Linked DNA regions of Arabidopsis thaliana. The protein of the gene in region 4 interacts with the protein of the main gene of each other region in a pairwise test. Each region holds a gene or a part of one and is shown on either strand. Other genes may lie near its edges.

Evidence for each region.
Region 1: the proteins of IAA15 (region 4) and SPT interact in a two-hybrid assay, tested with the Arabidopsis thaliana proteins (one large-scale study listed by BioGRID).
Region 2: the proteins of IAA15 (region 4) and AT3G12910 interact in a two-hybrid assay, tested with the Arabidopsis thaliana proteins (one large-scale study listed by BioGRID).
Region 3: the proteins of IAA15 (region 4) and ARF20 interact in a two-hybrid assay, tested with the Arabidopsis thaliana proteins (one large-scale study listed by BioGRID).

What each region holds. Positions count from the first base shown.
Region 1 is NC_003075.7:17,411,229-17,417,200, forward strand, and holds SPT (basic helix-loop-helix (bHLH) DNA-binding superfamily protein), read left to right. Parts: upstream 1-2,854; 5' UTR 2,855-2,938; coding exon 2,939-3,448; intron 3,449-3,680; coding exon 3,681-3,791; intron 3,792-3,863; coding exon 3,864-3,929; intron 3,930-4,026; coding exon 4,027-4,092; intron 4,093-4,186; coding exon 4,187-4,432; intron 4,433-4,510; coding exon 4,511-4,580; intron 4,581-4,664; coding exon 4,665-4,717; 3' UTR 4,718-5,158; downstream 5,159-5,972. Other genes in the region: NAPRT1 (nicotinate phosphoribosyltransferase 1), read left to right, coding at 5,710-5,864, 5,940-5,972. UniProt on the Arabidopsis thaliana protein: Transcription factor that plays a role in floral organogenesis. Promotes the growth of carpel margins and of pollen tract tissues derived from them.
Region 2 is NC_003074.8:4,107,376-4,112,271, forward strand, and holds AT3G12910 (NAC (No Apical Meristem) domain transcriptional regulator superfamily protein), read left to right. Parts: upstream 1-1,999; 5' UTR 2,000-2,041; coding exon 2,042-2,249; intron 2,250-2,443; coding exon 2,444-2,757; intron 2,758-2,883; coding exon 2,884-3,273; 3' UTR 3,274-3,474; downstream 3,475-4,896.
Region 3 is NC_003070.9:12,926,293-12,933,204, forward strand, and holds ARF20 (auxin response factor 20), read right to left. Parts: upstream 4,232-6,912; coding exon 4,183-4,231; intron 4,106-4,182; coding exon 3,987-4,105; intron 3,822-3,986; coding exon 3,726-3,821; intron 3,628-3,725; coding exon 3,571-3,627; intron 3,476-3,570; coding exon 3,332-3,475; intron 3,253-3,331; coding exon 3,168-3,252; intron 3,077-3,167; coding exon 2,986-3,076; intron 2,910-2,985; coding exon 2,745-2,909; intron 2,639-2,744; coding exon 2,525-2,638; intron 2,436-2,524; coding exon 2,363-2,435; intron 2,271-2,362; coding exon 2,132-2,270; intron 1,986-2,131; coding exon 1,615-1,985; intron 1,530-1,614; coding exon 1,342-1,529; intron 1,253-1,341; coding exon 1,165-1,252; 3' UTR 1,011-1,164; downstream 1-1,010. Other genes in the region: AT1G35242 (uncharacterized protein), read left to right, coding at 4,952-5,104; AT1G35250 (Thioesterase superfamily protein), read right to left, coding at 6,754-6,873.
Region 4 is NC_003070.9:30,220,491-30,225,287, forward strand, and holds IAA15 (indole-3-acetic acid inducible 15), read right to left. Parts: upstream 2,280-4,797; 5' UTR 2,213-2,279; coding exon 2,010-2,212; intron 1,918-2,009; coding exon 1,731-1,917; 3' UTR 1,530-1,730; intron 1,354-1,529; 3' UTR 1,139-1,353; downstream 1-1,138.

The DNA.
Region 1 (5,972 bases), on a different chromosome or scaffold from region 4:
TTATCTCGACACAACTCTAATTCAGTTTGACCGGACTGAACACTTTTATCAATATTAATGTTGAGTTGTTGACCTATATATTATTGTAATAATGAATAAACAACGCCATGATTGCGTACTATCTATCAGACTTTATAGAGTAACTACTTTGATTAACCATTACATTTTGTTTTTATGAGAATGTTTTCAGTTATATATCTTTATCAACACAGTTGAAACCTGTTCTTCTATGTTAAAGCCTTTGAATTTGAGTAATTTTACTTTTGATAGCTAGCCTTTTTAAAATGAATGATTATATTGTTAGGTTCCAAGTGGGGAGTTGTCTTGGGGATCTCATTTGACGTGTGATCTTGAATTTTTGATAGAGATCCTAATGATCTCGTGGTCCCTCTCGCAGAGTTTATGTAACCATCTAATATATAACTTCATGTCTGGATATGGAGAATCCAAAACTTAAGAAATGCACGTATTAGCATTCGTAGTTGTATATATGTTATGTATTTTGCGTCAAATGCAGAACAAAATAAAGCAAGAAGAGACCAACAATCTTCATATGGAGAATTGTAAATTGTCCAAATCAGCAATATATAGATGTCTTGAACAATAAAAAGATAACCGAGTTTAACATTAGACCAAAAAAAAAGAAAGATAACCGCTACAGAATTTGTGACGAAAAGAAAAAAGCTTTGGAGAAAAAAACAGAGTAAGAACTGTTTTTGTTGTGTGAGAAGAGTTTGTCCTTAGGTCGCATAATCTTTTAGGATGTAGTTATATGTGTTAAGTGTAACACATGCATATCATTTACTTCTGCAATATATCTCTTCTGGAGTTTCGTAAGGTACTTATGGTTGGTTTGTCTTCGAAACTACCAACGAACAACTTAAAAAACATTGATCTTTTTAATAGCGTGAGTTTGATTTATGTTATCCTTGTTATGGTGCATATGTATTACGGAAACTTTGGTCTGTTTTAGATGGGTAAATAGTTGTATATGAGTAAATATGATATTGCCAGTGTTTTATATAAAGAAAAAGGGAAACGATGATAAAAGGTGAAAAAGAAGTTTAGGATCATCTTTGTTTTTTATTTTGTTTTCCGACTTTCAAATCAGACAAGACAACGAGGTATGGGTCTTTTAACATACAGAGACTCAACTTGAAAATTCTATCAAACCACCAATTAAAAAACCAGAGAAAACATTCAACTATCTTCTTAGAATCTAGACAAAATAAAAAGTGTATCATGCTGATTTTGAACAAATTATTAAAGAGATCTCAACCATCGTTTCATTAATATCTTTGACAATTCTAGAAGCCGTAGTAAATCTTGTCTTTTTATGTGTATATCTTGTTGAATTTGATAAGGATATTCAAAATAATGAGATATGTATGTTGAGTAATTGAGTAAAATCAGATCCCTTGTTTAATTTGACGATTAAACGCTTTTTTCATTATTTTTTTTCGCATTTTGTTGTGTATGTTCTCAATTACAAATTCCACTATAAGCATTTGGACTCTACAATGTCACTTTCTAATTCTGATATTTAATAAAACAATTATTTTGTATATGTATAAATAGTACCAGAAAAACGAACTTAATAAAATAATTGAATCAAAAGCAGATGCTGAACAAATAGCTGCAGCTTTTAGCAATTGTCTCCCATATGCTTTTCCTTTGTTTCAAAAATTGTATATACGAGGTTAAGTGAATGTTGCAATGAAATAAATGATGCAGTTTGTGCATTCATCAAGCGAACAAGTACGATTGATGTTTTCAGTGCAAAAACTAAAATAAAATACTACTAACAACTATATAGTGTAAATATATATAACTTTAACTTCTTTTTTTTTAAGTCTTCATACGCTGCGAACGATCAAAATATATTTACAAATTTACGACCAATATTTTAAAAATACTTCATTAAAGAATTGATGCTGCTGTCTGCACAGTTGAGAACGCAATTGGAAACTTTCGTGCATTCACTTTGTTCGCCGCAAATTGGATATGTGAACGTGGTCATCATTATTTATAGAATTATTCTATAAAACTTACTATAAAACACTAGATATAAAGCTGGATCATATAAAATGAATTTACTAAAAATTCGATAGTTAATTATAGCAGATGTTATGTTCCAATTTGAAAGCATACGAACGAGGTATATAGTTGAAAACACACACCGTAAAGTTAATAATTTTCACAACACAAGAACAAATCAAAGTCGCAAGTAATTTAACGCATGTCAGTAGCATGGGCTTCTTATATACTAGTCAATAGAATAAACTAGCAAACAAGCAACTAATGTATTCTTGTTTATCACGCCACGGGTTACAATATCATACAAAATTTGAATACTAATTAATGGTAACAAGTAAAAAAACAAATTACTAGAAATGGAAATACTTTTGTCAAACAACCAAGACGTATAACTTTCGTTTTCTATAGATTAATGGACTTCTTAAAAATCTCTCCATCAGATTAAACTTTGAGATATACAAATACAGTTTTTGTTTTCTTCTAAATGATATGAATATTAACTTTATCGATTTCATCCGTAGCAGATTTCCATTTTAAATAATAAACTATGAGAAAACAGATAAAGGTTGTATATTATTTGTTACCCCAAAAAAAAAAAAAACTAACTACGAGTAGTAGTTTAGTGTGTCTCACGTGCGACGAGGAAAAGTTTTGGGAGAGTAAAAACATTTAATATTTACGACTAGTTTGAAAAACCGTGAGCTGACACAAGCTCATTGCTAATGCTACAGTAACAGCTACCTTCACTTTTAACTAAATGACAGACCAATCATTTTAACCTCTGTTTTCTTAGCTGGCGCGTGACAGACACTCTCCCTCTCTCCATGCCCATAAAATCTCAAAGACTGTTTAAAAAAAAAAATGTTTTAGCTTTAACTGCTTTTTTTTTGTTGTTGGTGTAATGATATCACAGAGAGAAGAAAGAGAAGAGAAGAAGCAGAGAGTGATGGGAGATAAGAAATTGATTTCATCTTCTTCTTCTTCCTCGGTTTACGATACTCGTATCAATCATCATCTTCATCATCCTCCGTCTTCTTCCGACGAAATCTCTCAGTTTCTCCGGCATATTTTCGACCGTTCTTCTCCTTTACCTTCTTACTACTCCCCGGCGACGACTACAACGACGGCGTCTTTGATTGGTGTGCACGGGAGCGGTGACCCACATGCAGATAACTCGAGAAGTCTCGTTTCTCATCATCCACCGTCAGATTCTGTGCTTATGTCGAAACGTGTCGGAGATTTCTCTGAGGTTTTAATCGGCGGAGGATCAGGCTCAGCCGCCGCGTGTTTTGGTTTCTCCGGTGGTGGTAATAATAACAACGTTCAAGGAAATAGCTCTGGGACTCGAGTATCGTCTTCTTCCGTTGGAGCTAGTGGCAACGAGACAGATGAGTATGACTGTGAAAGCGAGGTTTTTTCTCAATCTCTGTTTTTTATCTTTTGCATGTTTTAAAAGTTGATTCTTTGTCTCTTTCCCGAGAAAATGTTTCTACAGAGATTTCTCTTTAACGGATCTGTACTTTATTTTCCCCCTTAAAATCCGCAATTTTTTTGGTTGTGATTTTGAGTGAAGTTTTGTCATTTGTGAGTGTAATAATGAATGCACACCGAGTGTTTGATAATTTGCTTCAATGAAAATACAGGAAGGAGGAGAAGCTGTAGTTGATGAAGCTCCCTCTTCCAAGTCAGGTCCTTCTTCTCGTAGTTCATCTAAAAGATGCAGAGCTGCTGAAGTTCATAATCTCTCTGAGAAGGTTTGGTTTAGAGTCTCTCCCAAAAGTAGAAACTTTCTTATTTGAGATTTATGTTTATCTTTCTTGTAACAGAGGAGGAGAAGTAGAATTAATGAAAAAATGAAAGCTTTACAAAGTCTCATCCCTAATTCAAATAAGGTAATGATACTATATATAGAGAGACATCTACATGAATCATTCTATTTTCTGTAGATTCTTTTTGTGTCTGATTATTGCAATGTGTTTATTGGGGAAGACGGATAAGGCTTCAATGCTTGATGAAGCCATTGAGTATCTGAAACAGCTTCAGCTCCAAGTTCAGGTCACTAAAGATACCTTATGTTTATCATTATAACCAAAATCCTAAAACCAGTCTATATTCTGACATAAGTCTTTTTTTGTTCTGATATTTGCAGATGTTGACTATGAGAAATGGAATAAACTTGCATCCTTTGTGTTTACCTGGAACTACATTACACCCATTGCAACTCTCTCAGATTCGACCCCCTGAAGCAACCAATGATCCTCTGCTTAATCATACCAATCAGTTTGCTTCGACTTCTAATGCACCGGAAATGATCAATACTGTGGCTTCTTCATACGCTTTGGAACCTTCTATTCGCAGTCACTTTGGACCTTTCCCTCTCCTTACTTCACCCGTGGTGCGTAGTTGAATTACACATTTTTCATTCTATAACCATAAAGCTAGTTTGCTTACTAATTTTTTTTTGTTACTTAAGGAGATGAGTCGGGAAGGTGGGTTAACTCATCCAAGGTTGAACATTGGTCATTCCAACGCAAACATAACCGGTAAAGTCTTGTTGTTTTGGAATCCTAAGGAAGTTTTAGGACATTTACAATGTTAATAACGTTACGATATTTGGGGATTTGCAGGGGAACAAGCTCTGTTTGATGGACAACCTGACCTAAAAGATCGAATTACTTGAACAGTGTCCCAACTTCGGGATCTCTATGTGTTCTTGTTTCTTAGAACGCAAGCCATAAAGCTGTCTGACAATGGAGATGCATTTAACTGTCTTTATTTTTTCTAAGGTTCTATTTAAAATCAATTGTTGGTGACACGAATTCTAGAGTCTAATCTTTTGGATCTAATAGCTATATATAAAAAGGACTGAAATTTTATTACAAAGTAATTGACTAATTGTTAGATTGTTGTATGTTTATGGTGGATGTAAATTTTCTAGATCATCTTCGTATTGTATTTGAGAGTTTGATACTCGATGGCTTTGGATATGTAAATTACCCCGATAAGCTTCTAGAGAAGTTTTCGATTCTACAAGATGGATTTGGTATCTTTAAGGTTGACCATGTTCTTTTGGTATCTCTTGTTCTCAAATTGATCATTTACAATACAATTTTTTAAAATCTTTTACCCTTCACATTTTTGTACTTACATTTGGTATATTAGTAATTTCATTTGTAAGTGTCTTTTAAAAGTTTTTCATTTATAAGTGTTGTTTTAAGATCTTTTATGATAATTAAAAAATGCTTAAATATCTTATTAACCCTTAATTAGTATACTTATAGCTTTAGTTCTCCAATTAATCTTTAGTAAGTAAAAGGGACAGAGCTAGAACTTTATTTAAAATTGGATTGAAAATACATAAATCTTATATTTTTTTCAAAAACTAGTATTGAACATACAATTTATTTATTTTATTTTATTTGTAAAACAACAATAAAAGTAAAATCATACAACGATATATTTTGAAAAAAGGAAAAGTAATTAGGATTCTCTTTCGGTGAAAATATCAGAGAACAAAATATATTTGAATGCGACTGTAGTTGAAACTTGAAAAAAATTTAGATACTAAAGTTTCGTCATTCTCTTTTTGTTAAAGACTCAGTGACGACCCTCTCCTAAAAAACACTCATAAATAAACTCGCTGGAGACGCCGGAACCAAAAACAGAGTTCTAATGGAGAAGAAAGAAAATGGTCTCGATGGAAAGCAATCGGGTCGGGTCATTAACGGACCCACTAACCCGATGGTCACACCTCTGCTCAACGATCTTTACCAATTCACCATGGCTTATGCTTATTGGAAAGCTGGCAAACAATCTGAGCGATCTGTGTTAGTATTCTTCAAAATTTACAAAAAAGTTCGATCCTTTGAATCCACACTGTAAAATCTCATCTTTGTTTTCAGGTTTGATCTGTATTTTCGTAAGAATCCTTTTGG
Region 2 (4,896 bases), on a different chromosome or scaffold from region 4:
CGAATTCATGTATTAAATTACTCTCGTTTCCATGGCTTCCCTATGTTTGTTACTTCTATTTTACATCAGAACTAGATTAGTTAATATTTTCTCTGTACGTCCAATTTTATAAATATTTTGGCTACAAACACACATATTAAGAACTTTGTTTTACTTACAAAAATAATTTAATATTTTAGTTAAAAAAATAATAATAAAGATAAAAAAATGATCACAAAATATTAAAAGCGTTTAAATTTATATAGAAAATGTAAGATATAAAGTATATCTAATAGAATGAAACAATATTAAGATAGTATTAGTTCTTTTTAACATTCCAATGAAATTTGATAATGTTTGTACCGGAGAATGATTCCTTCTCTAATTTTTTTTTTTAAAATAAAAATAAATTTTCTAGTTCTAGACATGTACATCTTTATCATATTGAGGATTAAAATATTATGTATGATTTTCTTCTAAATACCATTCGAAATCAGTGACTTTTAGATTTTATTTAAAATATTTTACTCGTTGTGCTATTTGTACCGGGTACTTTTACCAAAAGCTTATCTAAAAAAGTGGTAAAGATTTGGACAAAAAAGTCAGAACCAACATTACTTGAATAACGTTTTTTCGTAGAGTGAGTTTTGACAATGAGCAGTGTATTAATGGGAGAGACTCTTTCAGTGCAGTGGAAATTGTGGTTTCTGAATATAATAGGTAATTATGGTGACAATAATTATAAGTATTAGTATTTCCACTACTTTTAAATAGACAGCATATTTCCACAGCTTTAAGCACGCTCCTCTGATCGAAATTTCGCCTCGTGGATTTTGCAAATAGTGTTACAACAATTACCACCGGATTAAATATGATTTTTCTCATATTTAAAAAAGAAAAAAATGTGGTATAGTAAGTCATGTTGCATTCTTCAGAAAAAAGTAAGGCATTACAAAAATGTAAGGTCGTCCAGTGAGATGGTGGAAGATAAGCTTCATTGTCCAGAGAGAAGTAGTTTGGAAATAATTTTAATTTATGATATATAATGGATATATATGTACGTAAAATAATTAATTGTTGAGATATCAATCCGAATGAAGATGTAAGATCAACATAAACGAAGAAATCCGATATGCCGATCTTTGAAAGTATGGTTTGTTAATGAGTTTCAGTATTATTAATTGGATCTAGATATAATTTGGAATTAATAAGCTTCTGGGGATTGGTTGGCTACTAACGACGGTTTATGAACCATCCCGTAGCTGTAGTTATCAGTTGCAACGATATTAAAATAAAGGGACAAGAGACGAGTTTAAATTAAGACCAATTACTTTCAAGTTCAAAAACCAAGCTTAACTAATAACTACAATAACCAGTAAAATATTTTGGAGAAGTGAGAAAGGAACTGACAGGTAATATTCGGTTTTTATTTGGTGGATCTGTCATTGTCAATTTCGGAGAAATTACCAAATAGAAAAATAAAAAATGTAACAATATTCATATTTTTTCTTTTTAGTTTGTTGATCTCTCCAAGACTCCAAGTTAAAATCTCCAAACGAAGCAATACAAATCTTACCTTTACGAGCACAAAGTCGGATTTATGCGTTTAACGTCATGATGATTAGTAGATGTTTTGTGGTGGTCAAGAATATAATATGCAAACAATTAATGATGGGTCTAGAAGAAGTTAATGTTGTAACAATGAATACTCGTCAGACATTTTGGAAGAGAACACACAAAAATTAAATTTTTGTGTGTCAAAAAGTCAGTCCTCTCCTTAGCGTTTTCCTTGCGTCCTAATAATGCGAAAGGTAAAAGCGTCATATTTATTGGGTCCACGTATAGATGCGAAAAGACTCGTTCTAAAAACTCAAGCCCAAAAGACTTTTACCGGGTCGGATATATCATTGATTACAAAGGATCACTAAGTCAACAGAAATGACTTGACCAAATCGATCTTATGATAGATAGACACACGACACAAACTCTCTTTATATAAATCTCAAGAAGATTCTTATATGTGAGTCCAAAGAGCAAAAAGGAAGAAATAGAAACCAAAGCCATGGAGAAGATGATAGAACCACGGGACAACACAAGAGAATCAGAAGATGAGGATGCGTTAAAGCTTCCAGGGTTTAGGTTTCATCCGACGGATGAGGAGCTTGTAGGGTATTATCTCTCTAAAAAAGTGCTTCTCAAAAAAACGAGCAAGATTGATGAGATCGTCAGCCAAATTGATATCTATAAATTTGATCCGTGGGATCTTCCAAGTAAGTTTGTTTTACTCACTCTTGCTTTTTTCTGTTTTTTGCACTCCAAACCATGCAAACACAAATAGAAAAAAAATTAGGTCTAACTTTTATGAGAAAAACAAAAGTAAAGTCGTGTATGCATGTTTGTGAAGTAAAATTAACACATAAATTATTGTTATAAACTGATGATCAAACATAATTTTTGTTTGAAGGGTCGAGGAATACAGAGAAGGAGAGCTACTTCTTTTGTAAGAGAGGAAGGAAATACAGAAACAGCATAAGACCGAACCGAGTGACTGGTTCCGGTTTCTGGAAAGCCACAGGGATAGACAAGCCTGTCTATTCCGATGGATCCAACAAAGCCGTGATCGGTCTAAAGAAGACACTCGTTTATTACCTAGGAAGCGCCGGGAAAGGAAACAAGACGGATTGGATGATGCACGAGTTTCGTCTCCCTACAGCCAATGACACAATCCCCGGTGGCCCTACACACTCTAACCCTACTCCAACTTCCTTGCTACACGCGGTAAGTTTGCTATCTCTTGATCATGATCATGCATGGTTGGCCACTATAAACGCTTCACATGGCAAAAATACATAGGGTTTGAGAAAGAATGCTCATGGATGGTTCTTATTAACTATATAATTGCAGGAAGTATGGACGTTATGCCGGATATTTAAGAGAACTGTGTCTAGTCGAAAATACACTCCGGACTGGAGAGAATTAGCAAATGGCAAACGTGTGAAGCAGCAACAATCTAATTACCAAGAAGCTTATATAAATTTTGGGGACAATGAAAGTAGTAGTAGTACCAACGTGATGAACGTTAGGGAAGGCAAAGGGAACTACGAGAGAAGCGTTTTCCAGCTTCAGCAAACGCCTTATCAACATCAAAACCAGCCAATTCTCATGGACACCACACACGTTGATTCGTTTCAACATTTCTCCAACGATAACATTCACCATGAAACCTACGAGACTTGGCCGGACGAGCTTCGATCGGTTGTGGAATTTGCTTTCCCACCTTCTTTTCTTAGTTAGATCTCTAGAATAATTAACAACTAATATGTATACATATTACATATTACTAGCTTGGACGTGTTGTATCATCAGATCTCTACTGTATACATGGATCGTGTGTATATGAATATGCACCTGTTTGAATTCTCAGGTTGATCCACACGTATATAGTATGTATTAATGTCAATTTAATCTCGGGAACTATTTGCATATTTTGTTTTATTAGCCCTCTTATTTTATGTTTTTCGGTTAGACGAATAGTGGACTTGTGGTCTTGTTATCTTTAATAAAGTAACAAAAGCGTTTAAAAAAACATTAAGAAGCCCACAAAGGAAACAAAGCCCATTAGGTGGAGGAGATGAAACGATGGAACTTCTTGTCTTGTCACGGATGAGAGAAATATTGGAGAGAACCATTGGAGAGAAAGCAGAGTTACTTGCCAATTTCGAATTCTGAGAGCGAAGAGCCGAGATTCTGTTTGTAGTTTGGATGATGAATACGATTGTTCATGTTCCTTTTATCTCCAGATTTCGTAAATTCGTCAATTTAAGAGACGATTAGCTCAGTTTACAATCGAGTCAGTATATATCGAATTAAACTGCAGAGGTTTTGGGTGTTCCCGAGACATGACTAGGATATGGTTCAATAAACAGTTGGAATTGGCGTGAAAATTGTAGATAGGTTAAGCTTTATACTTCAAATCATGCAATCGAGTAGTCTGATATCATTTTACTGACTGATTCCACTGGTTATCCAGTAGCCAACTATGTACGTGTGATTGATTGTGTAGTAATTTCCGTCTTGTACTTTGTAAGTTGGGTTCTTATTCTGCTGCATTTGGCTATTCCGTGTCTGATGACCTTTGTTTTTTCCTTTTGCAGCTTTGTTAGAGTCTCATTTAGATCCATGTCTCTTTGCTTTAATTGGTCACAATGCTTCTTCTGGTTTTATTGCAGCGGAAACGGTTTATTGAACAAACGAAGACTCTTTATGGTATGAATTTCCTGGCATCTGTTTCAAGTTTACTTTCTAAAACCTGGAAGTTCGGCACATGAGCAGTTCCTTTTAGAACAGTTTGTTTACTTAAACCTTTGACGCCCTTTTGTGTACTGGTATAAACCTCCTGCCTCTTCTCTCATCTGTTTCAGGCTTCGATTCCACCCTTCATATTACAGTCGCAATTACAAACTAGTGTCAATGAGAGAACCCAATTCGATCAGAGGTATGCTTTCTCTTCTTGACAACAAGTAAAGTAAACAGGGTTTCTGTTTCTCCACTTCCTTTTATGGTTTTGGTTTTGAAAAGTGAAATCTTTATGTGAAAGTTCCATTTTTTTGTTTTAATAGGATTTGAGATTAATGAGTAATTTAAAATAAGTGAGCCTATTTAGGCCCTAAAGACAAAAAAAATCCTAACTTTTTGTCTTTTTTTATTAAACTAAAATATCAGGGTCATGATTTACAATCTTTATTTTTTCTTGATACTTTTCATGATTTTAGTTTGTAAAAAAAAATGTATAAAATCATAAACCAATAACACCATAATTAAAATCATTAAGAATCATAGATTCATTTGTTTTAGTTTAATAACATCAATTTTTAATGACTTTATTAAATTATGAATCTAATAACTCAAAATTTATGA
Region 3 (6,912 bases), about 17 Mb from region 4:
TTTCATATAGACGAACCTTCTGAGTAAACATACATGACCTAATTGAATATTCGGTTCCTCGTTGAAACAGGTTTATGAAGTAGACAACAAAATGCAAAATAGAATTCAAAATATCTTTTATTTTCTATCAATAATTTAAACTATAGATTGGTAAATCTTTTTTAAATGATCAAATTCTTAAATATCTTTTTTAGTTCTAACATCTCTTAATAAAATAAAACCATTAAAAAAAATACTTTCCTCAGCCGCAATGTTTAACTAGAAATTCTACATGAGAACAATAATTTACAAAACTACCTGAAATCAAATCCAAAGCAACATATGTTTGTACTCAAATGAGATTATAGACATAGCAATTTAGAATTGAAAATTGAATAGCTCATATGGAGCTTTATTGAAACGCAAGAAAGTAAAGTAAAGTAAAGAAAAACTTTTTAGATTTTCACCAAGATCTAATTGATTCTTGGATTGATTTCTTATTGAAAGAGAATTGGTCAAAAACGCAATTCTCTAGGTTAGTCGCATTGTTCTCTGTAAATTATTGTTATATAATAAATAGAACCAAGCAGCCAACATAGTAGTTAACTTTACTATGCTAGTTCATTGAATATACACTTAAAAATAAGGAAAAATGTCAAAACAAATCACAAATTTTTAAATTTGGGACGATTTAATCTACAACTTCACGGAAGACAAATAAATCGTAAAGTTTTTGTTGACTTTCTAAATAAATGACACAGTTTTTGTTGACTTGCCACTTGAGTCATGTCGTTAAATAGGTTAACAGATTTTTTTACGATGTTAATGTCTCGTTTATTTGCTCTGTTAAAACAAAACAACATCGTTTATTGTACGTCGTTTTGTCTGTTGAAACAAATTAAAGCCTAAATTCCCAAATCGTGTTACACAAATTTCTTTTCAAAATATCATAAAATAAATATTACACTCAAATTTTTAGAATGTAGATGTGATATGTAGATTGTATAAATTAGAAAGAAAGCTCAATATCACGACAACAAGAGGATTTTATTTCATTTATGGACGATGGAAACAAAAGTGCATAATACAAATGCATGCAACAACAAATAAGAGAAAAATAAAAATAGAACGAGACACCGATAACATTTTTGACCCCTTTTTATTACATATTTTTTTATTCTTAATTCAACTTGAGAGACTCTTACTGGACTTTAGGTTTTTGACCTCCTCTTTTGAATATATCAATATCTTCTTCACCATTTTGCAGAATTCACTACATGCAAACAACACAAAAATGAAATATCAATGTCTCTCAAGATTTTAACTAATCTTTTAATCAATAGAAATAGAAAGGAAACTCACGGCCATGGATCGTCTCCAACAAGCATCTCATACCCGTCACTATCTGTGAAAGCTATTTTCCATTGGTTGCGAGTTTGTAGTTGGCCTTTGAGATCAAAGAGCTTCTCCAATTCTAGTATTAGCTGATCATATCCATTAAGAACACTTAAATCCACAGCTCTTCCTATTGTTACACCTTGCATTTGAACCTGTTCCATATCAAGATTGCATGAGTTGAGTACAATGAGAAAAAGTTTCATATATAAGGAATAAGAATATTGATCTTATACTTACTTTGGTACAAGTTCTAGTAGAACCAAACTGCTTGCTTTGGATCTCTATTGGTGATCTCAAAGTTTGGCTTTGACCAAACTTTTTTCCTTCAGTAAGTTTCGAAATATCCGAGCCAATTTCTTCAATGGGATCTTTGATCACTAGAGGAATGGCTAGAGAGACTCCAAACAGCCTAAAATTAGTGACTGCCTTGGTTGTTATATTTTCTTCTATTTGTGTAACCATTTGGTTATTGTAATTTAGTTTGGGCATTGGTTGGACAGGGTAGCTCATTAGCAATCTAGAAGGATTCATAGCATCTTCAGTTGTATCACGATAACGAAGAGAAGTATTCATCGGGGAGGCGACGCTTAGTTGTCCAATTTCTTGTCCTTGTGTCAATATAGGAGGCAAGATATGTGATGATGAAGAACATGTATATAAAACAAGAATATTGAGAAGGTATTCAAGAGTCTCAAATTCATTAAATAGAAGATTAATCCTTTAAATAAAAGATTATAAGAGTGTATTTTTATACCGAATTCATTAACTTCTCGTAAACGCTTGTTCTTGAGCAAAGATGATCGCGGAACATTTAACGCAGACATTAAATGTTCGATCTCCCAGGGTGACACTTTATTAGGTCTCGAAAATGATGCAAATTCATCCCACTGAACCTGCAAAATTAAAGTTAATTAGTGATATGTTATTTATTGCACTCAAAAACGTATTCCTAAAAGAATGTTATAAAGTGTGAATGAAATTTTACTTCTAAGCTGCGCCACTCTGAACACTTCCAATGAGGAGAGAAATCATTAACTCCAATAATTGTCCCAAAATATCTTAATCAATTGAACAAAATGTGTTATCATTGATAATATTAAACATTATAAATATATTTATGCAGAAATTTTTTTTCATCTAATGTTACCTTCTTTCAGAGAAATCATCACCCTCAAACCGCATTGTAAATCTTGAACCGACAATGAACTTATTGTTCATAGCGTCTAAGAATTTGTCGTAACTGACAATAAATTGACTTGACCTGATACTTAGAAAGACACAAAATATAAACCTATATGTTGAAGGAACTAATCTATTGATAAATCAATATAATCTAAAATGTGAGTTCAAATGGTTCTTTGAATTACCTTGGCTTGTAAACCACAATGAATATACATTGGTTATCAAGAGCATGCTTTGCGGAAGCAATTACCCCATGTCTCATACAATCTATTGATACTATTGATGAAGGTATATTCCCTTGTTGATGTCTTGCTCGTCTGATACCAACTCGTAACTCTCCAGTCTCTCCCCTAAAACCACAAGTAAATAGTTTAAAAGTCCAAAACTCCAAAACCAAAAGATATATAACAAGAATCAATATTATACCTAACGAATACAATAACATCTCCTTTAACCAACTTTTTCGATGTTGTGAATTCATTCCAACCAGTTGTTAACGAATGTCTTTGCGGTGTACCTGCATGGAATAAGAAGATTATTAGTTACTTCTCTAGGATTTATTACCTCAATAGCTGTGTTTGAATGATTTGAATAAAATGAATTATTACCTCTATAGCTGTGTCTGAATCTCCATTGATTACCATGGAGATCTTTAGCAAGAAGTTCTTGTGCCGGTAGAGGCTGAGACATATCCTAAACCAAAATTTAATATGTAATGTCTAATGAAATCTTAAAATTCAAATTCATTTAAAAAAATTATAACATTAAATACCAGTGGAGGGAGACATTCAATGGCATGTTTTTTCGGAACAAAGAATCCACCATAAGCGCTTGTATCAGAGGCCGTTAAAACCTTCGTAAAGGAATTAACTAATGGCCTAAATTGATTTTCACTCTGAGTAGGGATTACAACTTGCTAAGGATTTAACAAAATCAGAAAATCAATGAGATATAATAGGAGAAAAATACAATTGACTGAAAATAAAAGAGAAATACTAAATTTTCACTTACAGTTGTATCTGGCATCAAAGTGATCTCAGCATAAGTCTCATCACTATTGTTTTCCACCTAAAATCAAACATCAAACAATTAACCAATTACTTCTTTTTACAATGAAATCAAATATAGATATCATGCGTATTTGCTAAAACATAATAGAGATATACCTTAAGATGAATTGCAATAACACGGCATTGAAGCTTAGAAGGAAGATCACAAATTGGTTGTAACTCATTCAACTCTTCTCTTGTAGATGCATCAACCTGAAAAGGCCGTCAAAAGGTTTCATACACAAGAGAGAGATAGAGAGAAAGAAGAGAGAGAGAAGAAAGGGAGATAGAAAGAAGAAAGAGAGAGAGAAGAGAGAAAGAGAAGAGAGAGAGAAGAGAGGGAGAGAGAGAGAGAGAGAGAAGAGAGGGAGAACTCACAAGCTCTATATTGCCTTGAGGAAAGTAATAAACATTTTCTCCAAGTTTTGGAATATCACACAAAGGTCCCGCACAGAGTTTCCATAACTGCTCGTACATATAGCTCTTGGATCCATCAACTGCCGAACAAAAACCAAAAAATTATAACCAAAACAAGTTTTCAATAAGAGAAAATAAAAAAGTTAAAATTTCTTACTTATGCCTGATAATTCAGGTTGTGCATTCACAACGTTGCCAGTTTCCATAACCTCGTATCCAAATATCGGTATACCAAAATATGTTATCTCAACAATTATTATAAAACTTTCTCCCTTTCCTCAACTTCTCTCGCGACCATGATAGCACAAAATATCACATTTATAGGTAAGAACTATCAAAATACATTAAAATACTTCCTTAGATTTGAATACTAAATTTAATAAGGTTACCAAAAATTAATAAAGGTAATTTAGAGAAATGTCATTAATATTTTGACTACACATAAGAAAATCAATTTTCTTATATGTTTATTGATTAAGTTACCAAAATCAACATATGCATTATTCATATATAAGTTGAGTAATATAATACATTTTTAATACTTACAATGAAAAAAAATCTTTGAATTTTGTTTATAGATAGCCATATAAATTTAAATAGGAGTTCTTGCTAGCTTTTTCTTTTCAACATATGCATTACTCATATATAAGTTGAGTGATATAGGAAAATTTTAGTACTTACAACAAAATATTTTTTTCTATGAAATTTGTTTAAAAGTAGCCATATAAATTTTAAATATGAGTTTTTGCTTGATTCTGATTGCATTAATAGGAATTCTCTAGCATTATGATCAAACCTTTCATATGGGATCTATGGTACATCTCATGTTAGGTTATTTTTTTTTTGCTTCCTCTTTAAGTTTTTAAGGATCCCATATAAACCGGCTTTCTCATATATTGTCGCTCTTTGGAGAAATTTCCAAGGGCATGTTCTCTTTTCCATTTAGCTTCCCCTTTCCATTTAACTATGATGTGAATTTGCATGTATCCGATGCCTATTGGGATGTCTTTGGTATCAGGGGTAGATCACCGGTGGTGGTGATGGTTTGGCCTTACAAGGGGATGTGGCTTATAGTATGATGAATTCCATCAAAAATGTACAAGGGCTTCTCGCTGCCTCTCAACCTAAATGTCAGTTAAGCATTTTTGCTCTATGTTTTATATTGATAATTATAATAGTTATTAATTATTATTAATGATAATTATTTAGCTTATAGAATTTTTTTTTATCATCTATAGAGAAATTATTAATTGAATAAACTTATTTAATTCATTAATTCAATAATTTAAATGACTAATTGTTTTATCCAAACCATTTGCTAAATGAATTAGATTGACTCATTATCCATTAGAATCTAAATTTATATAAATATAGATTGGTTTGATTTGGTTTAACCAACTTGACATCCGTAAATATAACACCCACAAAAAAAAAAAAATTATAACACATTAGTCAGACAACATAAAAAAAACTTATAACTCATCTTCTTCTTATAACTCATCTTCTTCTTATAACTCATCATCTTCTTCTTCTTCTTTTGTTGAAGAGTAAATTCACCAAGAGAGCCGACATGGAGATAGAGAAGATGATTGTTGGGTCTGCGGTTTGTGATAGATGGAGATTTAGGGTTTAAATTTGTTTTAACACACAAAACGACGTCGTTTTGTCCTTGCAATAAACGACGTCGTTTTGTCTCTGTAATAAATGACGTCGTTTTGTCTCTGTAATAAACGACGTCGTTTTGTCTCTACAATAAACGACGTCGTTTTGTCTCTACAATAAATGACGTCGTCATAAAAAATAAAATTGTTAACCTATTTAACGACATTACTCAAATGGCAAGTCAACAAAAACTTTATTTATTATTTAGGAAGTCATAAAAAACTTTACGATTTATTTATTTCAGTGAAGTTGAAGATTAAATCGTCCCAAATTTAAAAGTTTATAAAATTTTTAATATTTTTGCCCTTAAAAACACTTTAACATTTTTTCTGAAGATATACAAATATATATGGCGCCAAGTCATAGTATTATTGACTATAGAAACCCACACGATTATAAGACGAAATATAAATTTAATGGATAAATTGGATGTACAAAGAGATATATAACATAATATGAATAAAAGAAAGAAAAGAGAACGAGTTTCACAACATGTACAAAAATCATAAGAATGTCACAGGAGTGGACATAGAGCGGATATCATGAATTTGTGTGATTTTTGATTAGTTTCCTCTGTTCGATCGGCCATTTGTTTTTATCCATACCCGTTCTGTAACGACTTATGTCAAAAGATAGATATTCTGACCGATATTGATTACTTCAGATTTTGTTTTTTTCACCAGTTACGTGATAAGATTTTTAAAATAATTAATATATAGCAAATTTCAAAATTCAACAAACAAAAAGCACTATTGATATATTTTAGGATTAATGTGATGAATACAAATTCATAAAAATTTAAACCTAGATATAATAAACTATACAGTTTAAATATATATAATTATATGTATACATATATCATCACATATATCTTGCTCTTCAGATTTTAGTACTATGATTTGCCTCATTTTAATAGGTATTAAGTTTGAATCTTTGTCCAAAAAAAAAATTTGAATCTATGTTTTGGTCTGTAAAATTATGGATATTTATATTTTCTGCATCAAATCGAAATTGTAACAAACCAAAATATATAGGTCATAAATTTTGTGATGCCCTAGAATGTGGATCAATCGACCAAGTGTTGACACTGGAAGTGACCAAAATATGAGCGTACATGAGATGGGACACGAGTAGGCCGGTACTTGTTGTCAAGCCACACAGCCGTTCCTTTTGCCTCCAAAATAGGCTGCTTTGTCAATTATATACCAAAAGGATCCTAATTAAT
Region 4 (4,797 bases):
AAATCCAACAAGGTATTACTTTCTTCATTCTTTTCTTTTGCTTCTTTTTTTTTTTTGCTAAGAATTGTTTTCTTTTCTTTATAACTTATTTTAAGTAAAACCAAAACTAATTAGTACAAAACCTTCACTAAAACATTACTATTTTAACACTTATTTTTATTTTATTTAAAAATGTTTTTAAAATTATATTTTTATATTACTATTAAAACTATAAGGTTTATTTTTTACAAGTGTTGAATTTTTAAATTTTGTGTAAATATTTGGACACAACATCCAAACCCTTAAGAGGTGTCATAGGTTCAATATGGTTTACACACTATTTAAATTTTTAACATTTTTTTTCTTTTATTTACAAATGTTTTTAAACTTGTATTTTTATATTACTACTAAAACTATAAGGGTTTGTTTTTTATAAGTGTTAAATTTTTAAATTTTGTATATATATTTGGACACAACATGCAAACCCCTAAAAAGTGTCCTAGATTTAAAATGGTTTACACACTATTTAAACTTTTAACACTTGTTTTTTTTTTTAACAAATGTTTTTAAAATTCTATTTTTACATTACTACTAAAACTATAAGTTTATTTTTGGATAAATGTTAAAATTTTAAATTTTCAAATGGCACTTCGTTTATTGATAATAGATGTTTCCGCCATGTAATCAATAACAATAAGATATATACAGAGTGCTAGAGAAAAATGTTACAAGAAAGAAATCCGCTTTTATATTACGATCTCTAGGATAATTTAATGTCAATCTCAAGTATTCAATTCCATTTTTAGTTCTTCGTTTATTGATATTCCTGCATGTAATCAATAACAGTAAGGTCTACGAGTGCTAGAGAAAAATGTTACAAGACCTAGCATTCTTACAAAAAAAAAAATCCGCTTTTATATTACGATCTCTAGGATCATTTAATGCACAAATTCGAATGCATAAAAATGAAACGTGTAATTTTTTTAAAAAAAACATATTAAAACTTTGAGCATCCCGTCTTGTCGAGTGTCGATGTCGTCATGCCCGGATCGTGGTGGTCGGCACTGATGCTTAAAAGTGGTTTGTAATTATTGAATTAAAAAAAAAAAAAGTAAAATCATTTAAACAATAGTAGTACATTACATACAAAATCCACGGCCAAAAAAGGTTTGAAATTACATATATAGCATATTGCAATTCAAAAATGCAATTGTATACATCTCTACAGTATTTAATGCATTTGTGATCATAATCTTATATAGCCTTTCGAAGATCCGATGCGTTTACGTTGTGGGAAGCAGAATAGAGACCTATAATCCAATAGCATCTCCGGTTTTCATTAACCTCATACGTTTGCAAGATTCCACAAACATCCTACACAAATTAAATATCATCAATCCCAAGAAAATTTAGTTTCCTTCACAGCAGAATAATACAGTAATTCTAGTTTTGATATGAATGTAAGTAACAAAATAGTACAGAAATTCTAGTTTTGAATAAAAAAGGAAAAGTACGTAAAAGCAACACAAAGGGTAATTCCGAGAACTCACATCCACGGCACATCTCCGACTAACATCAAGTCACCGTCCTTATCCTCGTAAGTAGCAACAAACTCTCCCTTCCTCTCCAACTCTGTCACTCTACCTACCACCATCCAAAACCCCAAGTGTAAGTAAATTTACCATAATATCCTTCACTTCGTCAGTCCATCCAAACACATCAAAATCTTTATTTTTTCCTACTTATCTCGATCACTTACATATTGTTATTATCCCCTGAAACATGTTTTCTAGAGCGGTGAAAAGCTGTCCATAGCAATCGTACATCCCAAGATCAACCTTTCTGAGATAGGCCGCACCATCCAACGCCACTTTCACGTATTTCCGCCTCACTGTTTTCCTCGCTGTCGCTACCGGCGGCCAGCCCACCAACTGGTCACTAAAACCACAATAAATTAAGAAGATCAATCAAACATGCATATGACCTATATGAACGATAAATGAAATTAATATAATATATATATGCCGTACTTAGTGACCATGCTTGAGATATAATTGTTCTCGTGTGCTTCCCCGAGTTTTAAATCAACGGTCTCGAGGAATCTACGTTTGTTCCCGAACTTTTTTGGACCTTCCGATGCATTTGTCGGAGTGCCAGGCAAAGCTAGGGTCAGCTCAGTTCCTCCAAGATCACCGGAATCCGGCCAAACCCTAACGTATTCCTCCGGTGACATTAATATCTTAATCTATTTATGAAAGTTAGTTAACAACAAAAGTGCGGAAAGTGATGAGACAATGTGGCACTAACTTTTGGCTTGAGTGTGTGAGACTCTCGAGGTTTCCAACTTTGTATTTATAGTCGATCTATACTTGTCAGCTAAAAAACTAGTGAACCCTACCTATAATGACACGTTTTCCTGTAACTGGCGGTTTTTATATCTCCACGAAAGCAAGTGAACAGTTTGGTGATTAGCTTCTACTTCGTGTGGTGTGGGCTCATTTATAGTTATAGCCACTTAGCATCTTCTAAACTGTCATTAGTGGATGTAATTGCATGTGTACGGATATCTTTTCAGTTTTAATTTCTATTAGCCTGGTATCAAAAGAAGAAGAAGAAGAAGAAATCACTGTCAACTAAAAAAGAAGAAAGAAGAAGAAGAAATCAGCCCTGATCTTTAAGCTCCCACGTCACGACTGATGGGTTCGATTAAGGAGAAAAATATATAATTTGATTATATTATCCACTAGCATTCACAAAACGAGAAAAATATATATTCTAAATACCATTATTTACTTTCTAAATAGAGTTGAAAATATCATTTTAATCGCATTCATGTTACCTTTGCTTATAATCGTTGGAAAATATAATAAACTTTATTCCCATATATATTTGTTTGTGTTTGTCAACTTCAGTCCAATAATTTAACATTAGACCAAAAAAAAAAAACTTCAGTCCAATATATTCTTCGGGAGAGATCTTCAATAGTGTTCCTTTTGTCTACACTTTGTTGTCGCTTTACTCCTTTAAATTATCATTCCAACTAACTTTTTCTTGGTAAAAAAGTTTCACCATTATATATGTACATCAACTTTCACTGTCGTCGGTCGAAAACAAATCATGGTCTAACAATATATTCCTAATTATCTATCATCGTACACTACACACTAATTAGGTACAATACTTCTTCATTAGTTTAATCTTTCACCGAATATCAGAAGAAATCCCAACTAATATGCGTGTGGATCTTGTAAACAATGAAAAGAATGTTCCCACCAAAAAAACAATGTGAACAGAACTAAATGTTGAAACTTCTACTTCAAAATTGAAATAAAATCTAAAATAAAATATATAATGAACATCAATCATTGTATAAAAGCGATTAAAAGTTTCATGATTTGGGATAAAAAAAGTTAGAGATAGATAACTATCCCTTTTTTAGTGAACAAGTATAAAGTTTTTACTGAAAAGTTTTTCAGTGTCCGGTATTAATTTCATATTAGTCATATTATTTACATGCAATATGAAATGAGATGTCAAAAAAGTTTAGACAAAGGAAAAGAGCAGAACATTAATTACAGCAGCGTAGGGTCACATGCGTAAGTCACGTGACTCTGTTTTTCGTTGGGGAACATAGAATCATAAATGATTTTTTCGATGGTTCACGACACTATTCTTAGACCAATAAGGGCAATAAGAGTTAAACCAGGGGCTAATAGGTCCTACTGGCGACACATAGACGAATTTACCGGTTTCGATTACAAACCCGTGACCGGTAATTCCGGTCAGCCATTGTTTTCTAAGTTTGTTTTCTTTCGTTATAATGCGCATGGAATGAAACAGTCGTATAATTCATTTAACTCGACTCGTAACAAAATATGTGAGATAATAATAAGAAGTACATAAATTTGGTAGCTAGTATTTAATGTTAATTGATACTTTTTGTCTCAAATAATCGAAACTGCTTTTAGGCTCTAGAAAACTGATATTGATGTCTTGGACATTTACTTGGGTATAATAAATTGCGATAACATAATAGAGCGGTCCGAGACTTAGAGAATTACGAAACCAGTAAATTCTATACAGATTGTTTATCCAATTAAGCCCAAACCAATCCAGGTTTCCTACAGTGGGTCAAGAATACATCATGGCAGATTTGATACATCATAATGCCATTATGGTATCAAGCCCAAAATAAGCCCAGTTATTTTTTCTTTCTTTTGTTGTCATTCCATAAAAATCTACATAACGGAATCCAGAATTTGATTAAGATCTTATTCCGTTATGTTCCAGATAATTAGAGTGTCATATCTCTATAATGAACTTCATATTAAATTTCTTTGTCTTAACATGCATTAGAAAAAAGGGTTTAAAACTCTATTAAGAACTAAATATATCAATAACATTTACAGTATAATTTTAAAATTTAGAATGACAAAAGAAACATTATAGAATTTTAAGAAATGATTTGGGAATAGACAAATCAATAAACCTCAGACTATTATGAGATTTGTTTTTGTCTGGAAGGAAATTGCTTAATCAGGTAATAAACTCAACAAAGCACCTTCTAAACAAGGAGTCATCCACGACCGTCCGATCAGATTAGTACATAGAAACCCTTAAGATCCAACGGTTAAAGATTTAAGACAGAAGGACGAAATCTGTAATCATGAGTTTAGTAAAAAACTAATAAATCAATCAGTCTTCTCCCTATTTACTGCAACTCTGCGAAAGCTGCAAAAATAAAATCAGCCGATTCCTATTTTTTTATTTGTCTTCCTGTGAAGAATGAAAAAGAAGAAGAGTACAACAAGTACTAAG